Oryzias latipes: one gene and its partner. The protein of the gene in region 1 interacts with the protein of each later gene in a pairwise test. Links are inferred from orthologs where the notes say so. Each region holds a gene or a part of one and is shown on either strand. Other genes may lie near its edges.

What was found. The genes of interacting proteins can lie anywhere in the genome.
Region 2: the proteins of pak5 (region 1) and prpf31 interact in binary tests that used the Homo sapiens proteins (3 or more experiments, as listed by UniProt). The two-hybrid records come from large-scale screens. The link is inferred for Oryzias latipes from reciprocal best matches to the Homo sapiens genes PAK5 and PRPF31.

Annotation. Positions count from the first base shown.
Region 1 is NC_019882.2:2,170,798-2,174,447, forward strand, and holds part of pak5 (serine/threonine-protein kinase PAK 5), read left to right. Parts: intron 1-2,094; coding exon 2,095-2,934; intron 2,935-3,650.
Region 2 is NC_019874.2:19,364,147-19,368,223, reverse strand, and holds the start of prpf31 (U4/U6 small nuclear ribonucleoprotein Prp31), read left to right. Parts: upstream 1-1,140; 5' UTR 1,141-1,313; intron 1,314-1,582; coding exon 1,583-1,795; intron 1,796-1,875; coding exon 1,876-1,936; intron 1,937-2,026; coding exon 2,027-2,110; intron 2,111-2,204; coding exon 2,205-2,302; intron 2,303-2,499; coding exon 2,500-2,606; intron 2,607-2,739; coding exon 2,740-2,909; intron 2,910-3,004; coding exon 3,005-3,162; intron 3,163-3,259; coding exon 3,260-3,349; intron 3,350-3,424; coding exon 3,425-3,552; intron 3,553-4,003; coding exon 4,004-4,076; intron 4,077-4,077. UniProt on the Homo sapiens protein: Involved in pre-mRNA splicing as component of the spliceosome. Required for the assembly of the U4/U5/U6 tri-snRNP complex, one of the building blocks of the spliceosome.

The DNA.
Region 1 (3,650 bases):
TTACATATTTAAAAAACAAGCATAAGAAACAAATCCATGAGAAGAAATATTTTTCTTGATGTGAGCTCAGTTCTCCTGAAAGTCTGTCCTCAGAGCTATAGGTTTCCATTTGGTGACTAGTTTTAAGAACGACCCGTTCAGATGCTTCTCTCTGCTTCAGTTCATGTTGTTTTTCATTGGAAATGATGTCCTCATAAAAATTTTTTTTTAAAAGGTTTATAATATGTTATAAGGGATGAAATGCCAGTGGAACTTGTAGAATTTGTCCTGGTAAGACTTCTGAAAATAATAATAGGTTAAAGAAAGAAAAAGATCAAAGTAATAAATAGAAAAACTCTAAACACTTATATTAAGTTTGCTTCATCAAATAAAAAAAATGATGTCTTAAAGTAAGTATTGTTAAAAAAATAGCTTTTATTTGATCTTCAAGAAGGTTTATTTATACACTTTCCCCTCAAAATTTATACTGATTTAGGTGATACAACGTTCCAAATATCTGTATTACTGGACTAAAAATCCTCTTAAAGCCAGACTAGAGTAAAACGTACAAAGATAAATTCCATTTTTTTTTTGCTTATATTTTCTTTTCTTTCCTTTTGAAGCAATAAATAAATAAAATACAAGATATTTTTTCCTAGTTTCAAGTGAGAAATCTGCTAAAAGAACTGGTAGAATTTGTGTTATTGAGATGATTATTGATGTCCTGCTCTTTTAAAACTAAATTTAACCAAGAAATTAGCATAAATACTTGTATTCTTCTGCTAATCGAAATTAGCAGACATTTTTGTAGTACAACAGTCCAACTGTTTCTCGACTATAATCATCTTAACGGAGACTAGTTATACGTTTTAAGATGAATTTGTCTTTGAAATAAGATATAATCGTTATGAGTCAGATAAAATGTTCCAGGTTTCTCTAAATCAAACAAGTCTTTTATTTTAAACAAGACCACTCAATATTCATAAATAAAACTTGTGCTAACTTAAAAGAGGATGTTTCAAGATCAATGGATCAACATGAAATCCTGAATTTCTTGTCTTAATTCAGCTCATAACATATTCCTAAAGAATTAAGTTCGTTTTTTTCCGTTGTATCAAAGGGAGTAAAATATTATTTACACCAGAAAAGAGTTTTTCCTGGAAAAGAAATGATGACAAGGGATAAAAGAAGTAATGTAAGTACACAAATATAGTATTTATCATTTTTAAATATTAAATATTGACTTTTATTCAGAAGTTTGGTCTTTCGTGTTAATTTTTCTAACATTTCCATCATGGTTTAGTGTCCAAGAGATCTGGATGTGTTTAAGTCTGACGTACGGAGCAGAAGTGATGCAGTCTGCAGTGACAGCATCCCTGTGCCAGCATTATTACAGTTTATCCCAGGTGTCTCAGCACATGTGACAGACAAACTGACCAGGATGAAGAGCGGGTGACAGTTTTCTTTTTTTATTATTGGGAGAGGAAGCTGCTGATGTGACACTTTTGGTTTGAGAGGAAGATTTATGCAGCGAACAAAGACAAGAAGAGGTTTTGTGAAGCGTGGAGTACAGAGAAGAGGCGGATGAGGTACATGTTAGTAAAAACATAAAGAACTTGTGGATTTGTTTGATCTGCCCAAAAAGCTGATGATGTAAACTGATCTCTGGCCTTTGGCAGGGTTGCCTCCTTTTTTTTATTGCATTCTAAAGATTTGTGCATCATTTTCGTGCATAATATTCTTTGTAGTTCTTGCTGCACAAACGCCAGGAATGCAACCTCCCCCCTCCACGACTCACGACACAGTAAAGAGCTTAAAAAGGTAGGAGGGGATCAGTGGCACCCCTCATGTGTAAGCTGCCTCCATGTGTGTGTGCATGTTGGTGCAGTTGTGCGTCTGAGGGATGAAAGCTAACATCGTGGTTATTAATGCATCCTGCTGAAAAGGAAGTTAATCTGCTGTGAAGGAAGTGGGGGAGGGATTAGTTTGGTCAGTTCACGACTTGTTGGTGATGCTTGATGACAAACGTTTACTGCAAATGTGTTTGTGGAGTCGCGACGGCCTTCCCTTCAGTCCTTCCGTCTTGACCGTTAACTCTGTTCCTTCCACCCGCAGACCATCGTTCGGGGGAACCGGCCGCCCAAAGATGCATCCATCAACGGCCTGCTGGAGGAGTTCGACAACATCTCGGTGACGCGCTCCAACTCCCTGCGGAAGGAGAGTCCGCCCGGCCTCCACCAGGCTGGAATTGGCTCCAAGCCCCTGGGAGGGGGTCATCCCCCCGCTCCCGAGGAGAATGGATTCAACCACTACTACTCCCGCTACTCATGTGACCTGGACACGTCCAGCAGGGACTTTTTACTGGATCCCGGGAAGCCCAGCTTCTCCATCGACGGGGACTGGGCTGTTGGGAGGCACTATCGATTCACCAAGCAGAATGGCCACTCGCATCTCATCCGTAGCCCCTTCTACCCGGACGCCATGCCTCAGAAGTCAGACTATGGCAAGCTCCCCCCAGACTACCACACCTACCTGGAGAGCAAAGGGCGCTCCGCCGACGAGGTGGCCTCCACGGTGGGGAGCGGAGTGGGCTCCAGTGGGTACTACCGCGCTTCGGTGGGGGGCTCGTCCAGCCAGGACTACCGGGACACGTCAGTGGGCACGCCGTCCCGCGCCTCCCTCCACAGCGAGCAGATCACCTACCCAGACAGCGAGTGGAGCTACGGCGGCCTGCGGGACGAATACGACAAGCGGCCCAAGAGTTCCTACGTGACCCAGACCAGTCCCACGCCAGCCATCCGACAGAGGTCGCGCTCAGGATCCGGCCTGCAGGAGCAAATGGTCCCCTATGTGGCCGGGGGCCCTTTCAAGAACCCCCCCCAGGCTCATTCATACAGCTCCTACACCTACCCCCGCCTCTCTGAGAGTCTGGCTAACGCTCAGGCCGCAGCCAAGGTAAGCAGCCGAATCTGCAGAGGATTCCTGAAATGAGGGTTCATCTTTACGACTGAAAATTCCCCAAACTGATGAAATTACAGCAAATCATCCTTTGTATGGCTGCAGCTTCTTCCAAAGCTTCTCTTTTACTTTCTGCAGCTCCTTCCAAACCCTCCTAGACACATTTTTCTTTTCTTCCTGTAAGATAGATGGTGTCACTTTTAATCTCCTCTTCCCTAATGAAAGCGGGCGCCGCCTGCAGAAGAATCACCCGTCCCCAGCAGCTACTGTCTCTGCGCTTCGATCAATAAAGACTCGGCCTGGACATTAATTAGAAAACTTTAAATGGCAGTGCAAGTAAAGAAAAGGGGTGGGAGGTCTTGACAAGCAAAAGAAAAGTAGAAAATGAAATTTCCTGTAGAGGCGTTTGATATCTGGAACAAGAAAACCAACCTTTATTCTGATTGGAAAGAATGAAAAAAAATCCCATTTTGTATTTTTTTGTAAACAAGGCAACAATTTTGACATGAAATAAAAACAAATGTGAATAAATCCAATAAAAGTTAAGAGTTGCATTTTAGATTTGGCACAAAAAAGTCCAACTTTACCCGAAAATAACAGCATATCCACGTATGACTAGGGCTGAAGTAATATCACTGCAAAAAGAAGTAGCTAAAAACAGGAAAAGGAAACTAATCTTGAGAAAAAAATCCCTAGGAAGTAGAAAAATGATC
Region 2 (4,077 bases), on another chromosome or scaffold:
TGTGTATTTGTTAATTTATTTCATTTTCTACTAATAGCCATCAATCATGCAGCTGAGGTCCAACTAGTCCATTTGTTTAGTCTGTTTAAATGTTGGTTTAAAATTGTATTGTTTAAAAACTGGGTTTCAAAGGGGAGGATGTACAATAAAAACTACAAAATGTGAGCCTCTTATCCAATACGGGTCATGTCCCAGTCATTGTTCATTCGTTCAAATACCTCACCAATTTGTTGCAAGGGCAGGGTCCTTTCTGAGTCCCTATATTGTGTCAATTAGAAGTAATATTTAAATATGTTCTACTGAAAGCAGAAGTCAGTTACAGAATAAAATGTATAAAATAGAACAGTTAATAAATATAAGTCTAATAAAGTGGGAAACCACAATTGGTCAAAGCATAAACGTCCATTGATAAAGAATTTGTGGCCCATTGTTTTGTGAATGAAATTTTGATTGTAAAGGTAATTGTCTTATTTCTATAAAGTTTTTGTGTGCTATGGTGAAGTATCATAATTTATTAAAATTGTTGTAAAAAAAAAAAAAAAAAAAAGTTAACCAAACTCTAGTTTCCTGAATGCAAGACTGGTACTTTGCTGCCATGTATGTATTATATTTTGTGTGTAAATATTTTAAAACGCAATTTAAATATAAAATGTAAAGTTTTTAAGTTCTTACTTTGTCCCATCACTTTTGAATACGTTTTTTTTAACAGTTTGTCACAGAAACTTACTAGTCATTTATTTAGTTATTTGTTGTTGTTTTTTTAACTTCTCTTCCTATTATGTACAGGTAGCTTTTAAGGGTCTAATAAATAATATAAAATAAATTAAGAATAGAAAAATATTTTTAAAACAATATTTTAAGAACTACAAATAAAAGAAGAGTTATAGTAAAGTCATTTTCGGAATACTAGAAAAAAACCTGTGTTTTTATTTTGTGGCCTGAAATGTAACTCCTTATTCGAATAAATATGTATTTAGTTGCGACCTACTACACATTTTTTAAGAGAAGGTAATTAAAGCAACCAAGTAAACTCATAAAGACCGAACATTCATTTTTAGAAAGAAGCCCGTATGTTATTTTCTCATCTCTTAAGGAAAGGGGATACTTACCCATAATCCCATGCGGAAATCGTGACGTATTTATTCTGCGACAAACCACCCGGATCGTGAGCTTTATGTTGTAAACAGGAGCAAGAAGCCGCACAAGTAGCATTACCTATATTGGCTTCTATTAGAACCCTTCCTGTCTAAAGTGACTTTTAAAAAAATATAAATATATTTTTGTTTTGTTTTACTTCATTTTGAAAGTGCGACGTAAGTTACTATTTTTCAGTGTTGAATGACGTTTGGTGAACGTTTGCTAACTTTAGCTAGCTAACACAGAATAGCAGACTGATATCAGTTTTTGTTTTTTTCAACGGGATGTTTATAAAAAATAACACTGATAGACTTTCGTTAGATCTACTTCCTTTTGAAAATAATTGCAATAAACACAAATTTAACAACTGCCCACACTTTTACTCTCGTTTAAGCTGAAAGATGCATTGTTAGAAGATGGATCATGAATTTTACTCTGATTGCAGATGTCATTGGCTGACGAGCTTCTGGCTGACCTGGAGGAAGCTGGAGATGAGGGGGAAGATGGGCTGTACCCAGAGGGGGAGGAAGGAGGGAGTGATGGAGAGGGGGCTTCAGGGAGGACAGAAAGACTGGAAGATATCCCCGAAGAGATGGAGGTGGACTACAGTAAAACTGACAGCATTACGTCTATCGCCAAGCTCCGCAATAGCAAACAGGTCTTTGTTTAGCTGACTCTCATAAAGAGTTCCTTTTTTTCACTACCTGAAGGCAGTCCCTTTTAACTGCTTGTTTTCAGTTTTCAGATATAATTGAAAAAATATCTGGATATATTGGAAAACAGCGCAAGAATTCAGATGGTGAGTGTTGAAAAAATGTGCATTTTAACAGAAAATGTTACTGATTTACTTCCATTTCTTTTTCTCCTGTTTACCTGTATTTTCTTTCAGTTTCAGGACCAGTTGAGGCTGACCCAGAATACAGGCTGATTGTTGCAGCCAACAATCTTACAGTTGAAATTGACAATGAGCTTAGTGAGTTGGACTTTTATTGTGCGACAAAACCTAATGAAGAAATTGGATTCTTTCAACTGAAAGTGTGAGGTCTGTGTTTCTCCTGTCTTTTCAGACATCATTCACAAGTTTACAAGGGACAAATACTCCAAGAGATTTCCAGAGCTTGAGTCTTTGGTTCCAGATTCTTTAGATTACATTCGCACAGTCAAGGTTTGTTGATCTTAAAAGATAAGTTTGGAGACGTTGAAGTTACCGGATATCAAATTTTTGATTTTGTTTTTCTTCTATTAAAAGAAAAGATTTGCTGAATGGTTTCCATTATTCTGCATAGGTTTGTTTTTTTCTTTTTGCATCTAACCTCTAAATCTTCCCCCTTTTTTTGTTGTAAATGTGTGCTTCGTATAAAGGAATTGGGAAACAACCTGGAGAAATGTAAAAACAATGAAACCCTGCAGCAAATTCTAACCAATGCCACCATTATGGTCGTCAGTGTCACTGCATCAACTACACAGGGGTAAGTTTAAGAATGTTGGTACTTGTGTCCTATTACAATAAACTTTTTTTTTTAACATTTCCATTATTATGTCTGTTGTTTATTTTATTTACATAGACACTCCCTTTATATATTTTATTGTTTTCCTCTTAAGGTCATTGCTAACGGAAGATGAGCTGAAGCAGCTTGAGGAGGCTTGTGACATGGCTCTGGAGCTCAACCAGTCAAAACACAGGATATATGAATATGTAGAGTCCAGAATGTCCTTTATAGCTCCAAACCTGTCAATCATTGTGGGAGCATCGACTGCAGCAAAGATCATGGGTGAGGAAGTGAAACTATCTAGAAAATATCAAGTTTTTTTATGCCCATACATTTTTTTTTCTTACTTTTGAATTTTTTTCCCTGTTTGGCTGAAGGCATTGCTGGAGGCCTAACAAACCTCTCAAAGATGCCAGCCTGCAACTTGATGCTGCTGGGAGCCCAAAGGAAAACTCTGTCAGGCTTCAGTAGCACATCGCTGCTTCCTCACACGGGCTACATCTACCACTGTGATGTTGTGCAGTCATTGCCTCCTGTCAGTACACCATATTCAAGAATAACAAGTACCTTTTCCACATCTAATGTTTGTTTGCCTTAGTTATCTCCTTTCCCCTTTTGTTCTCCCCCCTCAGGACCTTAGGAGGAAGGCAGCTCGTCTGGTGGCCGCGAAATGCACTCTGGCTTCTCGAGTAGACAGTTTCCACGAGAGTCCAGATGGAAAGGTAAACATCTCAAATTAAAGGAACATTCAGAAATATAATTTCTGTCTCTGTTATTCAACTCCCTTTGTAATGCAGGTTGGCTATGACCTAAAAGAAGAAATAGAGAGAAAGTTTGATAAATGGCAGGAACCTCCACCAGTGAAGCAGGTCAAACCACTGCCAGCCCCGCTGGACGGACAGAGAAAGAAGAGAGGAGGAAGGAGGTCAGTCACTTATGGTTATTAGTATTTGATAGAATTGCCTGTAAATTCATCAAAACCTCTGTTTGTATTATAAATATAGTCAATGGCTTCAAAACTATTTAAGGAATTTTATAATTCTCAAAAACTGCTCTTTTGCCAGAGTTCTTTTAAAAATATGCTGCAATGTAATTGTTGTTTTAAACATCTTTGATATAGAAATACTTTTGTCTAACAAAGAACTAACTAAATGGAGAAATACAATTATTTGGACAGCCCTACTCAGTTCATTTTTGTCCAATTAGTTTACTTTGAAGTATTTTGTAATATCTTAAACTGCAGTACAATCAATTAATCTGCATAATTGTGACAAATGTTGAATTTATCACAGATGTAATGTTTTAGTGAAAGAGATATTGAATGTGTTTATTAGTCAATGCTTTGGTTTGAGCTGCCCTTTATGTTTGTTCTGTAGGTATCGAAAAATGAAAGAGCGCCTGGGGCTGACTGAGATCAGGAAACATGCCAACAGAATGACCTTTGCAGAGG